Macaca fascicularis: one gene and its partner. The main gene of each other region encodes a partner of the protein of the gene in region 2 in a complex. Links are inferred from orthologs where the notes say so. Each region holds a gene or a part of one and is shown on either strand. Other genes may lie near its edges.

Region 1 (4,298 bases), on a different chromosome or scaffold from region 2:
CTATACAATTTCTTATTCTCGAAAAGTTGCATGACTACTTTTAGTTATAAATCTTCAACCTGGCATCTGCCTAGACTAATACAAATTCAGGATATGCATATATGTCTCGAATTAATCTCTATATAATAGAGCTGAGATTTTTAGAAAACTATCTTATTTTGCTGGAGTGGAAAGAAAAGCTAATTTGTTTAACTGGATATCTCCCGCATGAGTCTGAGTCCACAGAAACAGTAAGCGGACAGCACAGCAAGTTAGAACAACAGAGGATACAAATAAATATGAACATTGCTGGGCTGACTCTTTACGTGTGACCCACTATGTCCTGAGCTGTCAGGAAGGGACAAGTCAATTTGACTGATCAACTCTAGCAACGTTGTAGAATATTATGATTGGATTGAATATTTGGGTTCTGTAGTTCTTACTAGGTTTCATAAGGTTCTTAGATTAGTACAAACGGAAAGATGTTAAGAAAAATGTAAAAAACAAAAAAGGTCAAGTGTTACATTTGAGGTTTCTCTCCCTTGCCTCCAAAATATTTGACATAAGAATCTTCTTACCAGAATGTTATGGTTGTCAATCTTCAGTAGAGTAGCATTCAAGTCAGTGCAGTACTGCTTACTCTCTTTCCATGTTAAGTTGTGCTTGAAGAACCCATAGCAGTTATCTCCATAGTATCTCCAGTTTGTGTCACAGGGGCTGCATTTATGACCTTCTGGAGAAACCAAGCACAGGAATGGTGTATTTTTTCTAAATTGGGCTTACATGTTCTCCACATTCAATGTTTTCTGCATATCTCAAGACTCCCTTCAGTTGCCATAAGAGAAATGCTCCAGGGGTTGGAGAGATGAAGAGGTTAAAAAAACAGTACTTACTGAAAGTGCCCTTTAGTTCTGATTGTTTTATTACATATTGGCAGAAACGCTTTGCTAATTGTTGCAGAGTTCCTGTGCGATTTTCATTCTCATCTTGTAGGTAATTGTGCTGCATGACAGCTAGATTCAAAAAGTAAATAATAATAATTTGTAATTAGAACCATAGAAATGATGCAAAGATCTGTCATTGAATTTTCATTTCATTAACATTGCCAATATGTGAGGAGTTAACTAGATACACATGATTAAATGAATATTGAAAAGTGTGAAGGGGCTATAAAGAACAAATCAAGAAATAGAACTGACACCTGAGGGTTAATGAGTGAACTGTTTGAAGGAGACAATGACAAATAAAAAAATCCCAACATCAGTAATATCCCCAGAGCTTGTATTCACTTGCTTCAATACAAGCTTCTCAACTGAGTTGTAGAGGTGAATGACCTTTTATTTTCTGTACTTTCTGTGATGCCAAACTATTCATTCATTTAAAAGTGCATACTGATTTCTTGTTATGCTTAAAGTACTTGTGATATTTAGGTAAATAATAAAGAAATACAGGATGATAAGTGTTAGATTCTAACATCTTTTAAAAAATCAACAAATGCACAAACAAGCAACAACTCCACAGACTACAGTGTGCCATTGGAGGGCTGTGAGAATTACAGAAAGAAGAAATGTGCAATAATTTAGTAAGCAAAATGAGAAGCAGAAAACGTTAGACAGAGAGAATAGAATGAGAAAAATTTCAGACAAGGAAACATGGAATTTATATATGAAATTGAAAAACTCTAGTTTGGTTGGTTCTTAGGATATGCAAGATAGGAAAAGGGACAAGGAAGTTTTTAAAAATAGTTTGGATCCACACTGAGGAGGGTCTTAAAGGCTGGTAGTACATTCTTAAAAATAACTTTTAATTAATTAAAATCTTAAAACCTTATCTTAAACTCAAGGAAATGGTCAGCATTCTCCTTTATTGAGATTCTCTTGGTAACTATCTGTAGGACAATTGGAGTAGTGATAAATACACAAATAGTGACCATTGAGAAGCTTAATGGGATATGCCATGACCCTTTCAGTATTACCTTCCTCCAATCAAATTTCTGGCAGAGTCAATACTTACACCAAATCCCCAGAGCTACCAGCCCGACAACCATCCCCATGCACAGAATCAGCAGAATCAAAGCCATCACACGCCACCAGGAGGAAGAAGCAGGATCAACTGTAGGCATATAATAAAGATATCAAGGAGCAGGCAGTACGGGTTAGCTATGGGGAAGGCTCACCCCTGCCCCTGCCCCTGCCTTCTCAGGGTCCTCCAAGTAATAGAAAGAGCTTTGCTGGCAGATCTCACCTGTGTTCTCTTGATGATCATCAACAATAGGCATGGCCCACTCCCATACCACACACCCATCCTCATCCCCAATGGACTTTACCTCTCCAAGCCAAAATATTACTTGCTGTTAAGGCCTGATGCGTTTGTATTTTTTGTTTTGTTTTGTCTTATGCCCACCCATTCCATGAATAATTGTTTTAATAAACAGCAAATGAAGAATCACACTCATTTGCTCACATTCAGAAAACGAAACTTCCAAACATTCTCTTCCCTTATCCCCTTGACTTCTATGCCCTCCAGCATTAAACGTTCAGAACCTTAATGCAGTTTTCCCTGCATGTATATTGGATGCTTGTAATCTAAATAGGTCTGTATGAGCTTATGAAAACACTACTCAAATGCTTTAGAGCATTAACATCATTCAAGAAAAAGAAATTAAACTATATACACTATCCATAGTAGAAAAAGAAAAAAACTGAATCAACTCATTTTTTAAATTAATTTCCAAATTATTGGCTCTGAGCATTCTTACCGGAGATGAGAGCTGGTTTTCGAGTTTTAATATTTAAGGTGACGTATCCATCTTCATCCTGCATGGCTTCCCGAGTACTGCAACTGAGCTCGGAGTTCAATGACTTTGCAAAATGTAGTTTCCAAGTCTTACAATCTCAATATCTGTCAGTATATGATCTTCCTGTCTCTAGTAGGGTAGAACCATGTGAGATGGGACACATTTTTTTCTTTGCTTATTGTTTTCCAGGAAGCCTTTTCATAGCTGCTCAGAGATACATGGATCTTGAACACAAACACACAAAAATAATAATAACTTGTGGTAAAGGAGTAGATAGGGTATTTGCTTCCTGTTTTTTTTTTTTTTTTTTATCTTCAACACTAAATAAAGGGGCATTCCATCATATGTATCCTTTCCAAGAACAAAGGTTCCTGCTTTATCTTAGCTCTAGCTTAGTCTAAATTATATTGCTGAAATGAGAGATTTCTGATGAAAATTCACGGATAGCTCACCAGCAGATATATAGTTTATCCCGTTGTGAGAAGCAAGTCTAATATAATTGGATCTGACAGGGGCTAAATTAGCTGTTTCATAGTCTTGTGTTGGAGGAGATCATTCCTGATTATAACCTAGAATTTATACAACTTCTTGCATATTTTATACATTTTATTTTTTATTTGAAGGATCCACATGAGGCAGGCCTGATATTGCTTAGATTTAGGTATTGAAGGAAAACTATCAAATAAAGTAAAATAATACAGAGTGAGTGACTTGCTGCATTGTTCTTTACTAGTGTTTGTGCTTTAAAGTGAGTTTCCTGGAATGGAAGAATTTTGATTTGGTGAAATCACTTCATTTCAAGTACAGTGGTGCTTAGATGAATATTTAAGACTGAATGAGTCCTAGCACCCTTCCATCACAATGTAATATGATTGCACATATTTAACTTTATGAAATGTGCTTTTAAATTATCTTAGCTTGCATTGAAAGTAGTTATAAGCACAGCCATACAAAGCTAGCTGATGCGTTTATTATAGGAATATTGGGAAGGATGTTATCTATTTTGCCAGAGAGTAGCTCTTACTTAGTTTTATGGCTGATTTTTACTTTTGTTAAATCGCCATGACTAGCAAAACTTTTAGTAGGCATTTACCTTATAAATAATCTAAATTCTATTTTTCTTTAATTAGCAGAGTATTCAACTTTTCAATATAGTTGTTACGTGGGCTGTAGTAGGCGATATTTTGTTTATTAACTTGCCCTTTGGCATAGCTTGTAGATTTTTTTTCTTCCCTGCTATATGCTTCACTCTGAATTCCTTGTCAATTCACTTAAAATTATCTTTCATTCTAAATTTCTGTCTCTATACTCTTCAAATTACTTTGAGAATGAGGTGAAGAATAAATGTAACACACATAAAAGACATTCCCTAATTTTGGAAAGCCAAACTTATTATGATTCAAATATTTTTACCAAAACTAATTCTTAATTTAAAAAATCACACTTGAAATAAATGCCAAATTTTAAGAAAGGACTAAAAATTTAAAAAAAACATTAGATCCCAACACCATTTTTGTTGCTG
Region 2 (4,476 bases):
CGCCCGCCTCGGCCTCCTAAAGTACTAGGATTACAGGCGTGAGCCACTGTGCCCAGCTCTTCTTTTCTCTCTCTCTCTTTTTTTTTTTTTTAATGGCAGAGTAGTGTAGTAAAAAGAGCTTGAGGTTTGAAGTTAGACCTATTTTTCAAACCCAGTTCTGGTATATTCCAAGATAAGAGCATGTAATTTACAGGTGTTACAAGGATCCAAAGAGGTAGCTAGAAACATTCCTAGCACGTGGCGGGCGATGGGAATGGAAGGATGGTCTTGTCCTTTTTTCTTGGTCTGACCCTCCACTGTCACGCCAAGGCTTGGGGTCCTTATAATTCTACAGTGTAGAGTCCCTCAGGTGCTGCTCATTTTATAGAAGCCAAAGAAAGTCAGGGGTTTAGTTCCTTCGGCCACGTCCAGACTCAGTCTTCTCATGCCTGGACACACTTTTTAAATTGTGCTTTTCTATATTCAATGCTATTTTGGATCTTATACACCAGTGCAATGCAGAGACCGCCCTCACAAAGCCTCTAACAGACCTGATCTTTATTAAGTGCCTTCAGTGCAACAAAAACTCTTAACAACTCATGAGGATTTCAGGGCCTCCAAACTGGCAAGCGTTTCGGGGAAATCACAGGGAAATTTGTTGGCCGCATGATTAATCCTGGGTGGATTGGTCCCGGAAAAGCCCATGTGGGTTAGCAGCGAGCAGCAGCTTGCAGAATCTCACAAAATAAACTGTCCAACGAAGAGGCCCCGAAAACGTGCCTTCCCGATGAAAGTTCAGCATGAGGGTGGGGCCTGACAAAGGAAGAAAACGCCAGATGTGTGGACAACAGACCTCCTTTGAATCCACTAACACCCAAAGAGATGACACATGGGACCAGATTATAAAACTGAACCAGATTATAACGCTGGAGGAGGGAAAGCCAGTAGGGCGCAGGATCTTATGAAAAGGATCATAAAATTCATCACCGTAATTACCCCCCAGCCCAGCTCCCCAACAAAAGCCAACTATAGCCTCCCTCAGTAATGTTATTCATCCATATTCAAGTCGCCTCGCTCATTATTCTCAGACAAAAAGCCTACTGGGCCTCTGCTCCTCTGGCAGCCAGGCAACTCAGCACCCACCCTCACTCAGCCAGCCCCCCATACCACTTCTTTCTTTAGTAGTGGAGTTTCCAGCACCAACGACGGTTTTTCGGTTTTAATGCCATCTTTTAGGAGTACCTTTGACATTCAGGAGCTGGCTGAAGAGAATCACAGCTAAAGCTTCCCTGGGCAAAAACAAAGGATGTTACCCAGCCGCTTTTTCTTTAGCAGGGCTGAGATGCTGAAGTGAGGGCACTCCCTCACTTTGCCCTGGTGAGCACAAAACGGTGTCATTTGCACATTGTCTCGCCAGAAAGGAAATGTAACTGAAAATACAGAACTGTATATATTCCAGTGGAAAGAGAAGTTCCAAAGATAGGACTGCCACGAATAACCCATGGCCCCTATAAAAAGAGTTGCTCTGTCCCTTTGAAGCAGACAGCCCAGCACAGAGCAGTACACTCTATCATTTCCCTGAGATTGGGTATTTTTGTCTGTGTGGACAACTGTAGGAGCCCAGGTTAGGAGCACCCCTCCTGCAAACCACCCTCTCCAAAAGTATTCCTCTGGGCCTAGGCCTACGTTGATCCTCAATTTTTGGAAAATGTTTACTTTTCACAGCACAGCTCAGCAACTTCCAGCCCCAAAGATCACGAATTAGCTTACAATTCCTTCAACCAACATTTAGTGAGCAACTACTATGTGCCAGGCATTGTTTCGGCTGTGGGGAATCAAGGCTGCATGTAAGCTGCGTCCTTCGGAACATGTGTTCTATTGAGGAAACATAAAAATAAAAACCCAAGAAAAGAAACAAAATGTTGACAGATGTCAACGGAGACCACCAACACAGCAACCCAGCAGGAAGAGGTAAGGCTCCAGGAGCGGACAAAGGAGAATAGAAGCTGTGGACGCCCCCACCCCAACATGGGACCCAATACATTTAAAGCCTAAGGAGTCAGCAACAGGCATTCAGTCACTGTACTTGTTGCCCAAGATGAACACGTGGCTCAAACCCACTTAAACCTCAACGTTCATAACGTGTAACAATCTTCATGCACTCATACCGCTCGGAAGCCTCCACTTGGATCCTTTCCACACACACCATCCTCTCTAAGGAGGATAAAGGAGGCCTCTTCCAGTCCAGTGATGGGGTGCTGAGGGCGTCCAACAGGCAGGGCACCAGACTAGGTAGTCTCAAGGGGGACCAGGGCCACCGCAGAGAGGGGAACCCTCCTCTTGGCCCCAGCCCTCCTGAACGTCCCTCCCGATTCTATGGGGCCAGCTTCTCCCGAGGCGTGCGTATTCCTCCAACACACCGCCCCAAGGTAAGGAAACCCCAGGCACTGCTGCCAGCAAGCGGGGCTGCCTACTGTGAACCTTCCACCCGATCTCTCTGGCGCTGCCGACTCGGAGGGAGGCCCCCTCTGCTGCCCACCTCGCAGCCTGTGGATTCCGGGGCTCCTCCCTGCACACCCGCGCAGCTGCGTCTTTGGGACCTGGCACCGGCTAAGCCGCTGCCTCTCCTCCTCCGGCGCTGAGCCGCCTGGCACGCACACACCCTCAGCTCCCCCGCGCTCCCCTGGACAACCTCGAATAATACCAGGCCCGGGCATTCCAGCAAGTCTCTGCTCGCTCGTCCCCATCAGCGACCGCAGGAAGCCACTTGCGCTGGGTCTTACCTCCTTCTGCCAGGACCCAGAGCGATGCGCTTCCCAAAACGAAGAGCAGAGCTGACACCTTCCACATCGTTCCCGTTGAGTTGCTCTCCTAGGGGCCGAGCAGCAAGTTTCTGCGCTGGGGGAAGATTAAAAAGCGCCGCGGCCACAGGCCCAGCCTGGAGGAGCGCGACGGTGGGGGCCGGAGCGGTGGAAGCAGGAGCCCCGGCGCGGGAGGGTGCTCGAGCTTCCCAGACCTCAGGCAGCCGGACAGCAAACTTTGCAGTTGAGAACTTTTCCGAGCGGAGTCAGCATTTATCTCTCCCGAGGAGGCGGGGGAGCGGGGTCGGCCGCAAGGTGGTCTCCGTCCGGGCGCGCTAGGCCCGCCCTCGGGCTCTGTTTGGCCGGCGCCAAAACGATGATCTCAGGCCAGGTTTAAAGTTACAGGGCCGCAGCTGCGGGGGCCGCCAGGACTGTGGGCCCTGGCAAAATAGGCTTTTCTTCTGTTCAGCAACAGGAGGGAAAGGGACCACATGCAACAAACGGGGTTTAAAAAATTATATATAAATTTTTAAAAACCTATATTTATTATTCTTTTTTTTTTTCTTTTAAGAGCAAGGCACAAGTCTGTTTTTCTTATTATGGGCAGAAGTGAGAAGTAAACTGTTCCTTGAGTGGCCAGTAGTTTTAGAACCAAGCATGGGGTTGTGCCTGTAAATATTGAATTTGATGGCTTAAAAAAAAAAAAGTTGGCCGTCATCTGGGTGGGCCGGAGGCTGCCCGCGCTGGTCAATTGCGCCCTTGTCCCGGGGACGGGAGCGGGTGGGCTCCGGAGGGCTGTCCCAGAGCTGGCTGGTGGGGGAGTTTGGCAGAGCGGGTGGCTTTGGCAGTTTTGAAACAGAGGCTGAATTCCATCCGCCTCTCCCGACCAGGAGATCCAGCCCTGCGATGCTGTGGCCCACCGGCGTGCGCAGTTGGATTAGGCCGGGCCAATTGGTGACCCATCTGGTCGCCAAACCTGTGTCCCCTTCCAGGCCGAGCTCACCCTCTTTATTCCTGAGTTTGCCCCCATAATCCTCACTTTACTGGTTTAAGCAATCTTGCCTTGATCTCAGGTACCAGATATCAGCAACCGGAGAACTTACGTCTTTTACTTTAATTCCTTCTGAATTGTTGGAATTAAAAAAAATAAATAAATAAGAAGAACAGGAGTTTGGGAAGTGGTCTCTGCTCCACTCCCAGATGCCACAAATTCCTTTCAACAAAAGAACGTAACGCTGTCTCGAAGCGCCACACTGGGTGAAAATTGTTTTCAGATGCTTATCTTTGACTCCTCCCCATTATAAATTTACTATCTAAGAATCGCAGGAGAGATTGTTTTAAATACCCAGTTTCCTGGATTCTACTCCAAACTCATTAATCAGACCTTTTGGGAATTCCTAGTTTAAACCAGTGTCGCAGGAGAACTTGTCCCCAGGAACATTTGGTAAACCTTACCCTTCATCATAGCTTCTCAGCCGGATCTACCTGGGGCGTTGGTTATGCAGGTGCAATTCCGTTGTGGGGTAGTGAGAGATTCTGCATTTCTAAAGATCTCCCTGGTAACATCTTGTCCTGAGGCTACAAACAGGAGCTGAGCCCCTGAACCAAGAAGATGAGGGGTGGGGGCAACACCCCTAGAGCCAAGGGGTTGGAAATGGAAGGAGAAAACTAGTGATACAGATAATCTTTCTTGAAC

What was found.
Region 1: the proteins of PDPN (region 2) and C-type lectin domain family 1 member B are in contact, whole or in part, in a crystal structure (PDB 3WSR), measured with the Homo sapiens proteins. The link is inferred for Macaca fascicularis from reciprocal best matches to the Homo sapiens genes PDPN and CLEC1B. Residues at the interface, in NP_006465.4 of Homo sapiens: Ala46, Glu47, Asp48, Asp49, Val50; in NP_001380271.1 of Homo sapiens: Arg107, Phe116, Arg118, Arg152, Thr153, His154, Leu155, Arg157.

The regions. Positions count from the first base shown.
Region 1 is NC_088385.1:10,910,007-10,914,304, reverse strand, and holds the start of C-type lectin domain family 1 member B, read right to left. Parts: upstream 2,823-4,298; 5' UTR 2,802-2,822; coding exon 2,738-2,801; intron 2,092-2,737; coding exon 1,993-2,091; intron 1,868-1,992; exon of another isoform or gene 1,806-1,867; intron 993-1,805; coding exon 873-992; intron 713-872; coding exon 558-712; intron 1-557. UniProt on the Homo sapiens protein: C-type lectin-like receptor that functions as a platelet receptor for the lymphatic endothelial marker, PDPN.
Region 2 is NC_088375.1:221,697,249-221,701,724, forward strand, and holds the start of PDPN (podoplanin), read right to left. Parts: upstream 3,027-4,476; 5' UTR 2,830-3,026; coding exon 2,763-2,829; intron 2,629-2,762; exon of another isoform or gene 2,519-2,628; intron 1-2,518. UniProt on the Homo sapiens protein: Mediates effects on cell migration and adhesion through its different partners.